4 linked regions of the Saccharomyces cerevisiae S288C genome follow. Changing the gene in region 3 together with the main gene of any one other region gives a genetic interaction. Each region holds a gene or a part of one and is shown on either strand. Other genes may lie near its edges.

Region 1 (3,946 bases), on a different chromosome or scaffold from region 3:
CAAAAACCAGACATTGGTCCTGAGATGGCCCTTAAGGCGGCAAAAAACTATTATAGAACCTTGAGAGAACAACAGCAACAGCTAAAGCAGCACCAGATTCAACAGCAAAGGCAGCAGTTACAGGAGGAGTCCAGTCATGTGCAGCAACTGCAGCAACTACAACCAGGGTCTCAAGCTCCGCCACCGAAATCATCTCCATCTCAATCTTCTCTTTCCAATATTTCTAACATTAATTCTGCTCCAAGGATAAAGTCACCAACTCCACAGGAGATTTTACAAAGGTTCCAAAAACAATGACCTAACTTTACGACTTTACGATACTGATCTTTTTTTTTTTTTAACCAGGCTTATATTGGTTTTTTGATTTTTATAAATTTACGAATACTATTATATATAAGTAAAACGTTTTACTTCTCTGGTTTAGTATGTTGGCGTAACACTCTGTTCTCTGTAATATAATATGGCATCTACTTTTTTTTCAACTTCTCTACCGAATTTGATTATATTGTGGGCAAACTGGTCGTGCCCGATTCTTCCTTCGAATCACCCTTGGTGCAGTAATTAGCCTTCCATTTCAATTTTATGGGCTTACCTAAATTAACAGATATACCCTCTACGGAAGCAATCTGTTTGATACCATCTCTGGAGTTACTTTGGAGCATATTGCCCGATTGCGGTTGCAGAGACAATGTCGTGCCTTTAGGTGATGCCACTAAAAGTGCAAAATTAGTTATTGGATCACTGCTTATGTTTGAATAGAAGATAACTAATCGTAGTTTTGTCATCGACTCACGAGTTAATTCGTAATCAATGCGTAAGTGATCCGATTGGTTAAGTATATGTCTTTGCGATTGAGCTGTGATTTCCTTGGAGTTACTTGAACTATTTAGTAAACCATTAGGTAGAACAATCGAGTTAGAATATGCGGACAGAGCGGTTTTACTTTCTCCAGGTTGCGAATCAAAATCTAATAAATCTATACCAGATGACTTTGAGTGAGCGTCACCAAGTATATCAACAACAGTGTCGTTTTCTTGAGGAGACTTTGGGGATGATAAACTTACCTTATTAAAATCCCCTAAAAGATCGTCAAAAGGTTGCAAAGATTTGCTTGGAGATGTCACAGATGGAGTGTTTGCTGTTGTATCGTCATCAAAATCTATCAAATTAAGCTCTTTTGCCGGTTCATTCGTATCGGGGACATTTAGTTCTTCTTCCTTCATACCTTTTATTGACTTGTACCTTTTTAACAATTGGATCACTAGATCGTTAAATTTTGATAGATTACTAACAAGCGCATCGTCATCGCGTTCTTCCTCAATAAGCTTTTTGAATTTCGGCTGCGCTGATTTTAAGTCGCCATACAATTCTTGAATAGCTTCATTTTCAAGATCAGGCTCATCGGCTGAAGTCAACATTTCGTTGAATAAATCAGCTTTTCTTTTGAGTTTATTTAGTTCATTGTTAATTGCTTGTTTGACTGCTACTTTAGTGTCATCCTTAAATCCCGCCATAATTTTCATCAGTTTATTAGCTTCTTTCAAATCATCGGGCTTGCCGCTTCTTAGCAGCTCTTCTAGTTTTGCAGCTTGAGCTCTTTCCTGTTCTTCCTGTAGCTCACTAGGTGTCCTCAGTTGGTCATTCGGTCTCAACACCGCCAAGTTTTCACTCCCAACTTTTGGGAAAGTATAACCCTTGTATTTCAGTAATTTATGCATGTCGTTGATATATTGAAGATCATCTTTGTAGCTGGCATGTTTGCAGATGGTTTGGTACCATTCCTCGATGGCTTCAAGAATCATTTGTTGCACCTTGGAATATCTCAATGGTGGTTGCTCTGGAAATCTTTTCACTAGATCATTTAAGAATTCCTTCCTGGAGATTTGCAAATGTATAGAGTAACCACAATTTTTTACCAGCACGTCTAGTAGTGAAAGTGCAAAAACAGCTGCTTGCGTGTCCCCATTATTGACCAATTTTTCAATTGCTAACACAGCCTCTCTAGGGGTTGCTCCTTGCTTTGAGTTGATATAGTCAGCTACATCTAAGTTCAAGCCCAAATCTGGTTCAGGCAATGTGGATCTACACGCTCTTTGTATCTTTCTGAGTAGTGAGCTCTCAGTAGACCGCGGTTTTCTGACTGGTTCGGAGGTAAGCTCAATTCTTTGTGGCATTTTAAAAGACTCTTGTCTGGGTTATACTTGAAGTAGTGACTTGTCCCAAATTGCTTCTTTATTAAGATATTTTTTATATAATGATATAAGGGTTTTTAACTTGAAATGGTTATGCGCAATATTCACCCCTTTAAAAATACCATTAGGTTTTAAGTTATAAATTTTAGGGCTTTTTGCTAATCTGTCATAGGTTATTGAGTTAAATAGCAGGTTATTTTAGGTTTTGCGATTTAAAATATTCGGGGTCATTATTTGTTTTTTAGCCGTTTTCTAGAACATGGTAAATGGCCAAAATTGCTGCTATTTCCACAGAGGGAGCCATCCACAGTAGCTAAAATAAGGACTTAACAAGTTTTCTCCAATTTGGGTAATTTCAGTTACAGTTATTTTTTAACCATAACACAAAATTCGCGGGGTTTTTTTACATGAAATTTGTGTATTTTAGCATTCATTAGCAGTATATTCAACTAGGTTAGTTGGCCTTATTTAGAATGCAAGACAACTCAAGTCATTCCAGAGAGTCGGCTTCGGCTGGTGACGATCCTCTTGGAATTGATAAATTGACAGTCGACTACGATTACTTACTTTATAAAATGAGAGACTATGTACAGAGTATACAATTGGATACTACGGAGCTATGTAAAAAACAAAATGAAGTGATGGTGAATGGTATTATTGAAAACACCATAGATAAAAATATTGCGAAGTTCAAAGAACTCCTTGAAAAATGCGATACGTTGGAAAATCACTATGAAATGTTAAACCAACTGGCGATAATAACAGATACTTTCAAGGAAAGAATCGCAGAGGCCGTAAATAATTACAATAGCTTAAAAAAGGGCGCCAGTAAATCTAAGTAACTTATAATACAAATATACCACATACATAGATATACCCTACGTATGTTTTATGCTGTATTTCTATTGGAGAAAGAAATGAATAAACGCAAAGTAGTCAATACTAGGGAGATTAGCACACTACAATCTAAGGTCACGATCTCAGAAACAAAAAGGTTTCTCATCTGTTTATGCTTCCACATTCACGGTGGCTCGCTTGAAGATCAGTCTGCGTAGGAGTCGATGTACATACGAGAAATATGATGATAGAGTAAGCGATACTACCAAGATATACGCCCGCTGCTACTCTCAATTCTATCTCTTAGTATTCGCAATCTGTTATCGTCTGATCTCCTGTAAAAAGCAATCCTTTTCATCCTCACACAAGCAAGCACTAAAAGGGCAACTGTTTTGAAGCTTAAGCGGCGTTCGAAATAGGGACCTCTTCTGTTTAAATTGAATCTAAGCGGGTATTCATAGTCATGATACCTTGTATAAACATGGCTATTGTAGTAATCACGATCTAGTTCATCATCGTCTGGAAGTGAAATGTTTAGACTGTGCTCACCTTTCCTTGTGTCCAATCTTAAACGACGGGTCCCCAAAGCAAGAACCTTGTTTAAATAATCATTGATCACCTTAAGATCGTTGTTGTGTCTTACTTCTGAGTGATACTTCAATTTATAATAGCTTATGATGTCATTTAATTGCATAGTTGAATCATTGTCTTTACGCCTCTCATTTAATATGAGGCGTTCTTCAAGTCTCCTATTTTCCTCTTGTAAAGAAGTGATTTCACTCAAATAATTTTTTTTTATCCTAGTCATCTTGTCTTCCATGATACGAATATTATTGCTGTTTTCATTCAACTCCTCTTTCTCTCTTCTCAAACGATCATTAGCAGTAATCACCTTCTGTAGTTCGCGTTTATATTTT
Region 2 (3,102 bases), on a different chromosome or scaffold from region 3:
AACCTTTCCTTTTCAAGTACTCGTTGCTACCTTGTGAGGATCCTGGTTTTGGACATAACCCACCAACGTGCTCCGTATTTATGGCTTTATTCGAAGAGTTGGTGGAGAAGGCTTCTTGCTTGAGGGCCTTCTCCTGCTGTCTGTTCCAATGTGCTTCCTCTCTTCTATCCTTTTGGTCATCCGTTTGAGAAGCATAATAGGAATTTAGTGCTTCATTTAAATCTCCAAATTCAGAGAGATATTGAACGGCTATGTTATGCGACACATTGGTCAATGCCATGAACTGCTGGATGGTTTCATCAGGTATTTCCGCCATACCTAAATAATGAGTTAATTGTTGTGCTACCGACGTTTCTTATATATTTAAATCGAAATATGTTAAGCATACAACTATTAAACCCCTTCCGTTCTTTATTGCCATCGATTTTCGCCACCAATAAGAGTTCTAATGCGGGTAACACATATAAGTAGTGGAATATATTATTGAAACTACTACTATGGTATAACACTATTTACAAAGAGATGAATTGTGTGTCTTAACTAAGCTGTCCACTACTTGCTGGCTTCTTTTATCCAGAGGCATGTTTGTCACTACAAATTCGTTGTTGGCACGCCTTTCCAGACGTTGCTTTAGTTCCTGAAATGATGAAACATCCCAGCTCCAACATGTCCCTGTGATGCCCATACCAAATATACCTAGTGTCATGCCCGTTGCCGCTAAAAGAGAACCTGCAAGACTCTTTTGTGTGTGTGTTATTGTCTGCGTCCGGCTGGCGTAGTTTGCTTGAAAAGTGTTCAATGGCACTATGTAAATAAGTTATGTTAGTAAACGTGTTCTTTGAGTATGAGGCCGAAGTTATTGCCTATGCATACCTTTTGCAGTTATCATTTTCTTCATGGCAATTCTACATGTTATAAGTGTAAAAATAGTGATTCCGAAGAATCGTGTCATCTGAGTTTTCCTCCTCTTTTTATAGTCGTCTATAAAATGTGTGACTTCCTCACTACTGATTTTGGGCTTGTCGTTTCTGCTCACTAACATTATTGTTGGCCAGTCCTTTATTTCGAATTTTCTTCTTGTGTTTACATTATGTTTCAATTCGCATATTACATTAATAGAGAAAGACCTATTAAAAAATCGCTGCGCGTCCAATAACATTCACTGATTTACAAGTGCAGTTGAACAAAAGCAAGATAAGACAAGTACTACAACATGCATCCACAGTTAGAAGCTGAACGTTTTCATTGTAAGTATCCAGATTTTACTTCATATATTTGCCTTTTTCTGTGCTCCGACTTACTAACATTGTATTCTCCCCTTCTTCATTTTAGCCTGTTTGGACTTCATCAATGCACTCGATAAATGCCATCAAAAGGAATATTACAAGAGAATATTTGGCCTTTGTAACAACGAAAAGGATGCTTTGAACAAGTGTCTCAAGGAGGCAAGTTTGAATAACAAGAAACGTGCTGTCATTGAAAGTAGAATAAAGAGAGCTGATGTAGAAAAGAGATGGAAGAAAATTGAGGAAGAAGAATATGGCGAGGACGCTATATTAAAGACTATCTTAGATAGACAGTACGCCAAGAAAAAGCAGGAAAGTGACAATGATGCGAACTCGAAATAAAAGCTTTTTTTCTGTCGCTACTTCATTCACACAAATCATCTCAATATCCCTTGTAAATAAAAGGCAGAGTACAGTTTTCAAGTTTATATTTCTTCAGCGCAGTCTTTATATTTATATCTTTAAATATACTTAGAACTGAACAGAACCCATGGCTTTTTGCAAAGCTTTCAAGTAGCTCAGTCGTTTCTTATATTGATTATTCATATACAAATATCTCGAATTCCAATTATTCATGACTGCTTCAAAATAGTTATCGTCAAAGCTCCAAATTTCGACCAGCTTATCCTTTATTTCGTTATGTTTATCTATCCATATACCAAGCTGTCTGGTGAAGTTCATCAATTCCTTTAGCCTTTCTTTTAGTTCGACCATCTCTACATCTTTCGCATCTTCGTATAGTAGCTCTAGCCCCAATAGTGGCTTCCATTCACTTACAACAATATTTTTAAGATTGAGGGAAGCGTGCTCTGTCAAGATCTTGTCACTCCATCCATATTCTGCGTTAGATACGGCTTCGAATTGTGTTAAAGGAACTGGAGAAATCCTACCTGCCCAGAAGTTGATACAGTCCATAAACTTGTGGGCTTCTTCAACACTTCTCGTCTGGAACTCCAGAACAAGCTTTGGTCCGTTGATATTCTCTGGAAAACTAACGGTAAAGTTGCCACTTTTCCTCTTGGTGTTTTTGTTACACACATTTGATTTCATTGCTCCACTACCTATAATTATATTATCTTGCACGACATGTGCTTCAGCTTCAAGCAGTGAGTAAGCAAAATAAGAGCTACTGATATCTTTGAAATAGTCGATGGTAGCACTGTCTGTTTCACTTGATTGGATGATATCCTTAACATCTGGTTTAATTTTGAAAATAAAAATTCTGCCCTCCTTGACCTGTATTTTCACCCTCTCCCATTCAGAATCCTTATTCAAATACGATAAAGAAGTCCTTCTAGATGTGTGCTCAATAAGTGTAGTCGTTTTAGATGGTTTTAGCCATCCGAAGAACGATTTGTTTCTCTTAGAGGTCATTTTTGGTGCCGCCACTTGATCTTTGTCTCTTTTAGAATATTTACGTGGTAAAGATTTCTTGCTTATAAGAATTAAATCGTCCATGAACCAACTGGAGCCGTTTTCGGTAATTAAACCGTCATCAAAAGACTCTTTAAGGTAGAGTGCATCCATGGGGTGATTATTGTGAAAGTTTTTATTTGATTTTGCGCTCATTTCTCGTACAGATACTTGACCATCTCTTGAATATAGTGTAGTAGAATTAGAGTTAACACTACGTAAATTTGATGTACTAAATTCCCGTGATCCTAGAGTAGAGAACCTTTTCAAGGAAGATTGGTTATCTGATATATTTATTGATGTTCTAGATTCTGTGCATAACGGTAAAGGCGTTTCATTTAACGTTTTATAGTATTCGGAAAGTTCTTCGATGATCAAATGTTCGCGGGAGTATATTTTCAAT
Region 3 (4,851 bases):
ATATATATAGTATTTTATTTCATATTCAATCTCCTAGTATACATGAAATATTTAACGCTTTTTTTTGCCCTTGTTTTTATTTTTTTTCTTTTTTGAAGCTGCAGAGTTACCATTGTTATTTTGCACAGCATTAGCTTTTTGCTTCGGTTCTGTAGCAGTTTTCTTAGCCGCAGGATCGCTCTTTTCGACATCTGTGTTGACAATTAAGGTGGCTAAACCAACAATGTCTTGGATGCTCTTACCTTTTATTTTTTTACTCGATTCTTTTATTTTGTTATTTTTCTTCTTCGACTGTGCTATTTTTTCAATTTTACCTGGAGTTATAGATACGCCTCGTGGGCCTAATGCACTAAGTAATCTTGAAACATCTTTACTCTTATTAGTAGTAAATTTATAGTTCAAGGATAAATGCGAGTTATGAGTTCTAAAGGACACTTTGGTGTCTGTCTTCTGTGTTGGTGGTTTATACGATATGGAGAAGAGCGTTTGAGATGGATTCACCTCAAAAAGGCGAACACTGTTCGTGATGTAGTTGTCAATGGGTTTCACAGACATGTTTTCCAGTTCAATTAGGTCTGTTAATTTGCTCGCGGAGGGAAGCTCTTTTATTTGGGTCAATCGAAGACAGCACAATTGAAACTTTTAGCATTGTTCTCGCGAAAATAGTCAGTTCTTAACTTTTCAAGAGTGGTGCGGCTTACCCTGCCTTCTGCCATAAGTAAAAAGTGACGCAAATAGCGGAACTATTGTCATTGTTATTGACATTAATAATCTGTATTTGTGCTCATCCGGTTCCATTTACTAGTATGCAGACGTATCTTTTTCAGCTGGACGAATTGAGGCTTTCATTAGCTAGTGTGGTAATGACAAACTCTTTGCACTGAGAAAATACTGGGGTGAGGAAACTTTTCTACCGAATTGCTTCCACATCTATCAAAGCATGATTATCAAGTATTCAAAGATCAAAGCATGATGTTTGCAAATAATAAATGTTCAGGCGTCATTTAATGTTGATAATGGTGTACGGGAAGTGACTTGTAAAAGGTAGGGGAAACCGTCAGTCTATCACTAGTGGTGTATCTGATGGAAGTGCCCTTTTATATTTTTTGCCGTACACAGGTAAAGAAATGAAAGTACTAATTATCCCCCATACTCTTTGTTTCTCTTGTGTTGTTTATGATCAATCCTTCTAATTTAATCATTCAATAACTAAATATTTAAAAAGATGTAATTGCCGCAAAAAAAACTCTCAATTATTTACTATTTTGAAACAGTCTCTCAGATAGTATGCGCCATATTGGTGTGATGATTCCTGTGAAAGCATTTTTGGGTTTGTTTAGGTGCCTTCTTTTCTTTATTTAGCATAACCGCCAATACGGAATGAAAAGTCCGTTTTAATGTACCGCTAATAATTCAAAATGCGTAAAAGAGTTTTCATAAAAAGGGTATTTGCGTCAAGCAGGAAGAAATTTTGAAAACAACTAACAGGCAACTTACAGGCATATACTGACTTTAGTAAACGTCTTCCGCTATTCTAAGAAGGAGCTGACTTGAACAAGATCTTTATTTTAACGGTGCGACAAAAACAAGGAAAGTTTACAAGCGCTAGCCGTCGAAGACGTCAATTGCACTATTACTCAGTACCGTTTTAATCCTTACCAACGTAGAATTACTATTTGTGCAGTAGGAGCCTGTGAAATGTTCAAGTCGAAAACAAGCACTTTAAGCTATGATGAAACCCCGAACTCCAACGAGGGTGATCGCAATGCAACCCCTGTAAATCCCAAAGAAAAGAGCCAAACGAAACATTTGAACATACCAGGCGACAGGAGCCGACATTCCTCTATTGCAGATTCAAAAAGAAGCTCTTCTAGATATGATGGAGGCTACTCTGCCGATATAATTCCTGCTCAATTAAGGTTCATTGATAATATAGACTACGGCACGAGGCTGAGAAAAACACTTCACAGAAACTCAGTGGTTTCAAATGGGTACAATAAACTCAGTGAGAATGACCGATGGTATTTCGACCTATTCGATAGGAAATATTTCGAAAACTATCTCGAAGAACCCACATATATTAAAATATTTAAAAAAAAGGAAGGATTAGAACAGTTTGATAGAATGTTCTTAGCTCAAGAGTTGAAAATTCCCGACGTTTACAAATCTACAACCTACCAGGGAGAACCTGCAGTTGCTAATTCAGAGCTATTCAAGAATTCAATATGCTGCTGTACGTTCAGTCATGATGGTAAGTATATGGTTATTGGTTGTAAAGATGGCTCTTTGCATCTTTGGAAAGTCATAAACTCACCAGTTAAGAGATCCGAAATGGGACGCTCAGAAAAGTCAGTCAGTGCCTCTAGAGCAAACTCACTAAAGATTCAAAGACATTTGGCGAGCATTAGTTCTCATAACGGCTCCATATCAAGTAATGATTTGAAGCCGAGCGACCAGTTTGAAGGACCTTCCAAACAATTACATTTATACGCACCGGTTTTCTATTCTGATGTGTTTAGGGTTTTTATGGAGCACGCTTTAGATATTTTGGATGCAAACTGGTCCAAAAATGGATTTCTAATAACAGCATCAATGGACAAAACTGCAAAACTATGGCACCCTGAGAGGAAATACTCATTGAAAACTTTTGTTCACCCAGATTTTGTTACATCCGCAATATTTTTTCCCAATGATGATCGTTTCATAATTACCGGATGCTTAGATCACAGGTGTAGACTGTGGTCTATACTGGACAATGAGGTTTCTTATGCCTTTGATTGCAAAGATTTGATAACATCCCTAACATTATCTCCTCCTGGTGGGGAATATACAATTATCGGTACATTCAATGGATACATTTATGTTTTACTGACACATGGATTAAAATTTGTATCTTCATTCCATGTATCTGATAAAAGCACTCAAGGAACCACTAAGAATAGCTTTCATCCATCTTCCGAATATGGAAAGGTCCAACACGGCCCTCGAATCACGGGTTTACAATGCTTCTTTTCTAAGGTGGACAAAAATTTAAGATTGATAGTTACGACAAATGATTCAAAAATTCAAATCTTTGATTTAAATGAAAAAAAACCTTTAGAGCTTTTTAAAGGATTCCAAAGTGGTTCCTCACGTCATAGAGGCCAATTCCTAATGATGAAAAATGAACCTGTAGTTTTCACGGGAAGTGATGATCATTGGTTTTATACCTGGAAAATGCAGTCCTTTAATCTTTCAGCAGAAATGAATTGCACTGCTCCGCATAGAAAGAAACGGCTGAGCGGCAGTATGAGTTTAAAAGGGCTGTTGAGAATTGTATCTAATAAGAGTACGAATGATGAATGTTTGACAGAAACGTCAAACCAAAGCAGCTCACACACATTTACCAACTCATCAAAAAATGTTCTTCAAACTCAAACTGTTGGTTCTCAAGCTATCAAAAACAATCATTATATATCATTTCATGCCCATAACTCCCCTGTCACATGTGCTTCCATTGCTCCCGACGTTGCAATTAAAAATTTGTCCTTGTCAAACGATTTGATTTTCGAACTGACTTCACAGTACTTCAAAGAAATGGGCCAAAATTATTCAGAATCTAAGGAAACATGTGATAACAAACCTAATCACCCAGTTACAGAAACAGGAGGATTCAGCTCAAACCTATCGAACGTTGTGAATAATGTTGGAACCATTCTAATAACAACAGACAGTCAAGGTCTAATCCGTGTTTTCAGAACTGATATCTTACCGGAAATACGAAAAAAAATAATAGAAAAGTTCCATGAATACAATTTATTCCACCTCGAAGCTGCTGGTAAAATCAACAACCACAACAATGACAGCATATTGGAAAATAGAATGGATGAAAGAAGTTCCACAGAGGATAATGAGTTTAGCACAACCCCACCATCTAACACGCACAATAGTAGGCCAAGCCACGATTTTTGTGAGCTGCATCCTAATAATAGCCCGGTGATTTCCGGCATGCCATCAAGAGCTAGTGCTATTTTCAAGAATTCGATCTTTAATAAATCCAATGGAAGTTTTATATCCCTAAAGTCAAGAAGTGAAAGTACGAGCTCCACGGTGTTTGGACCGCATGATATTCCGAGAGTTTCTACCACTTATCCGAAGTTGAAATGTGACGTCTGCAATGGATCTAATTTTGAATGTGCTTCCAAAAACCCCATTGCTGGCGGTGATAGCGGTTTCACGTGTGCTGATTGTGGTACAATCCTCAATAATTTCAGATAGAGAATCAGAAAGTAAGAGGAAAAACTATCTGTTCCACCGTCTTTAGATCATAAGCATGTCTGCAAATAACATAGTATTATTATTTATATCTGTAGCGATCTTTATTATTTTTCATTACTGACACATTTTCTCACAGAACCATCTACAACCCGAAAGATGCCGGAAACGGTCTTAGGCCGATGGGGTCTATTAGGGCCTACAGAGACGTCAATTGGGCTATAAGAAAAATGAAATCGAGGAAAGATTTTCCACTCTCAAATTAAGTAGGGCAAAAATATGCTTTTGTTCGCATGTGGTGTTATTCCAGTTGCGAGTCAGGGTCTGCCGATATGCTAAAGGAGGTCACGAAAACGAATCTGGCATTTAATACCTCATTAAGTTACAGCGGAATCGGCCTTCTGTTGCGGAAAAAAAAAAAAAAAAGAAAACGAACATTAAGCACCGCTGAAATTTCAAGCTGTGACTAAGTCGTCAAATGATAAATACTGCATATATATAAACTATGTGATTATATGCAACATTAAGATATACTTTCTTCTTCCATAATGCCCCCACTCCAGAACTCCATCCGAAATAGTTTTCCTTAGATTGCTA
Region 4 (3,115 bases), on a different chromosome or scaffold from region 3:
ATAGTGGATATCATTTTGACCATTTTGGCTTGGTTCCCAGGTATGCTATATGCCTTGTACATTGTCCTACAAGATTAAGCTCATTCAATAAACGAAAGTAACTATCAAATGAAATAAGGAAGCAGTATTAGGAAACGGTATCAACATGTTCGGGTCACCCTCATTTTTATTTGTTTCCTTTCTTTTTTTTTGTTTCTCTTTCTCTTAAGGTTTCCTCCCCCGCTGTTAATTTTAACTACGTGTGTATTTTTTAATAATTAATTTTATCACAAAAAAAACTTCTCATCTTTTTTGCCTTTTATCATTTTTGTACTTTTTTCTTCGCTTAAAATACACATGATATAGACGCTTAACTATCTGTCCTGCAAGTTTGTTTATCTATATAAATATAGCCAGTATCATCCGTTTACCTGTGTTGTAGAGTTCCAAAAGATAGAACAGCCTTTTATCAGATGGGTGGCAGACCCTTACCCATATTATCTCTCTTATTTTGTTTTTATTTCTCTCTAGCCTTATAATTATTTTTAGTTTCCTTTCTGTAGCAATAAGTGTTCTTAGCAGTGGCGTTGCGTTGCCTTGACCTTGATTATCAATTTAAGCAGCTTTCTGCTCACAAGCCACTTCAAAACGACTCGTGAATGATTTTTCGATCAATGATATCTTATCATAATTCGGATTTGATAGGAAATCATCATCCTCTTCCTCGTAGTAGGCGTCTTCCCTCCTTTCATTAACAAGTTTATTCTGCTTCACAAATGTAACTGTACTAGTTGAATTCAAACGCCTACTTTTGTTAACACTACCTGAACTAATATCATATTCCAGACCAGCTGTAGTATGATTGATCAATGATTCTGAGGATTCATTTAGCATATTAATTATCTCCTCATCAATAACTATTTCCTCCTTTCCGCTTATGGGACCACTGGTCTTTTCTTTTCCATCTGCCACCGGTAATGATGATCTATTGTAGTGGAATAACTTGCAACCGTAATCAAGCAACCTGCACATGTAGAGGAATAGATCGATCGCGTCCAGTATGATAATAGGCAACAGCAATACGATGACACCCAAAGAGCACATCAACTGGAAAATGCCAAACATTAACATCAGTCCTGATCTTATTTCGGATAATATCCCGCAGTGCCACGTCAAAGATAGTACCTTATCAAAGGCGTGGTTGATAATAACAAGTGCTAATCGGCTATTTGACATGATCTCTTCCTTTCCTGATGAGTTCTTGGTATCGTGATCGATCACAGTTGAACCTATAAGTTTTCTAAGCTTCGGGAAAAAAAACATTGTAACTAAAGGCAATAATGGATGCAGATGCCTGGCAAGGAAGGAAGAAAAAAAGACAATAGAATGCCGTTGGTATATATTCTCCGGCTGCCCCGTCAAAGGACTTCTAAAAACTAATATCAAGAAAATCAAAAAAAAAAATCAAAAAAAAAAATAAAGGAAAAAAAAAGATCTCTATCTTTATGTCGGTAGATATGACACTCCCTTCACGTTTATCATCTCTTGAACCTTTTCTAGTTCATCTACACCGTTCCTATTATCTTTCTTTTGCCCCCTTCTCTTCCCTCGTACATGTTTTCTTGCCTTTTACATTCCTCACGCCCTACTGACAGCTATTGCACTTTGGCGGCACCACTCAGCCAGACTGCCCGTACCCGTACGATGACCTTCCATGCAGCCACGGCGAAACGCAAGACCGAGCATTCGGGAATCAAGGAATCTAACTTGCATTTGTCCCGGGTCCTACTAAGCTCTTTCTGCCGTGCAAAAGGACGTTTCGTTTCGTTTTTCATATGCTATCCATTTCCTTTTGGGCTAACTAGGTTTCCGCGGGTTTTGTGGTCAATAGGACTCGACAAATCATTATTTACGCGCGTGCATTTTTCGCCATCATTCTTTTCCCTTCTTGCACCACTACAATTTTCCGGGATTGTACGATCGTAGGAAACTACTTACCGTCAGCGTTGCTCAAAAAGGCCCACATTATTTTCTTCCGTTAGTCCTGTTTTTATATTGTCCTGAAGTTTCCCGGCGCTAACTTCCTGGCTTTCCATTGAGTTTGAATTGTTGAGTAAAAACTAGTGTGCCATTGCTAGATGAACGTCATTTCCGCCCACACATCGACTGATGAATGACTCCATTTTGAGAACTAGATATACAACAAAGGCAAATAAGCGCAGAAGAAGCAATGGTGGTGTCTGTTCATTGCGAGCCCAAACGCACTTTGCCGAAAGAGTTAATAAACATTACCGCTATACACTACGTAAAACTTAATTCTTGTCTAGATGGATGAACCTGCTTTTTTTCATCTTTAGCGTCAGCTGCAAATAGACCACAACTATCAGTGCCAAAGGCAGATTTGTATCCACCGTCGTCCTTGGCAGGTAACCTATCTGCACTGTCACGCTGAGCCTCCGGCACTTCAGTATTACCGCCCTGGTTCTTCCTTTCTTGATTCGACGTATTGGTTTCGACATCTTGCTCTTCTTCTTCCTCGCTTTCGTCGCAGTTTAAAACGTCAAATAAATTGTTTGAAGGCTCATTTCTCTTCACAGTGACGGGAATGCGATTATTCTTCAATGACTTCGCAACAACTTTCACAGCGGCGCCTTTTAAGCTGTTAACTCCCTTTTCTTCTCCCTTCTCCTTTTCCTCCTCTTTTCCCTTCTCTTTTCCCTTGAGTATACTATCTTCGTTTGATAAAATTGTATTATGGCCCTCTGCAACAGCCACGTTCCTAGTCGATTCGGCGACTTCTCTATTCGATCCGGGGGTGCTAATGTTGCCAATGTGTTCGGCCAAAGAACTTAGTTCTGATTCAATTTTTGAAATTACCATGGAGCCATTTATTCCTTGACCAGAAAATTCGTCTTCAATATCATCGAATATTTCACGTTGCAAAATCTCAGACACATTTATTTTACTATAGTCTTCCACACTTATCGGCTTCATTGGTAATGCAAAGTCAGTGTTTTCCTCCGGACTTGAGTAGTAGAGTAAAGAATTGAATGCCGGCTCCAAAACCCCTTGGGAGGCAATTAAAATGGCTTTAATTAATGTATCATCTACTTCTGGAAATGCTATCTTCAATTCT

The links.
Region 1: mutations in DGR2 (region 3) and GGA1 together harm fitness more than expected from each alone (negative genetic interaction), as found in Saccharomyces cerevisiae (one large-scale study listed by BioGRID).
Region 2: mutations in DGR2 (region 3) and IAI11 together harm fitness more than expected from each alone (negative genetic interaction), as found in Saccharomyces cerevisiae (one large-scale study listed by BioGRID).
Region 4: mutations in DGR2 (region 3) and TLD1 together harm fitness more than expected from each alone (negative genetic interaction), as found in Saccharomyces cerevisiae (one large-scale study listed by BioGRID).

Annotation. Positions count from the first base shown.
Region 1 is NC_001136.10:1,188,287-1,192,232, reverse strand, and holds GGA1 (ubiquitin-binding protein), read right to left. Parts: upstream 2,175-3,946; coding exon 501-2,174; downstream 1-500. Other genes in the region: EAF1 (Eaf1p), read left to right, coding at 1-297; CNL1 (Cnl1p), read left to right, coding at 2,666-3,034; SPC110 (Spc110p), read right to left, coding at 3,292-3,946. UniProt on the Saccharomyces cerevisiae protein: May play a role in the regulation of membrane traffic through the trans-Golgi network.
Region 2 is NC_001134.8:108,651-111,752, reverse strand, and holds IAI11 (Iai11p), read right to left. Parts: upstream 1,160-3,102; coding exon 874-1,159; intron 805-873; coding exon 509-804; downstream 1-508. Other genes in the region: protein phosphatase regulator SHP1, read right to left, coding at 1-316; CMC2 (Cmc2p), read left to right, coding at 1,214-1,247, 1,333-1,628; Arf family guanine nucleotide exchange factor YEL1, read right to left, coding at 1,758-3,102.
Region 3 is NC_001143.9:212,444-217,294, forward strand, and holds DGR2 (Dgr2p), read left to right. Parts: upstream 1-1,698; coding exon 1,699-4,257; downstream 4,258-4,851. Other genes in the region: signal recognition particle subunit SRP21, read right to left, coding at 52-555.
Region 4 is NC_001136.10:1,010,439-1,013,553, reverse strand, and holds TLD1 (triglyceride-associated lipolysis regulator TLD1), read right to left. Parts: upstream 1,303-3,115; coding exon 595-1,302; downstream 1-594. Other genes in the region: PMP3 (Pmp3p), read left to right, coding at 1-78; YDR274C (uncharacterized protein), read left to right, coding at 1,594-1,965; DON1 (Don1p), read right to left, coding at 2,281-3,115.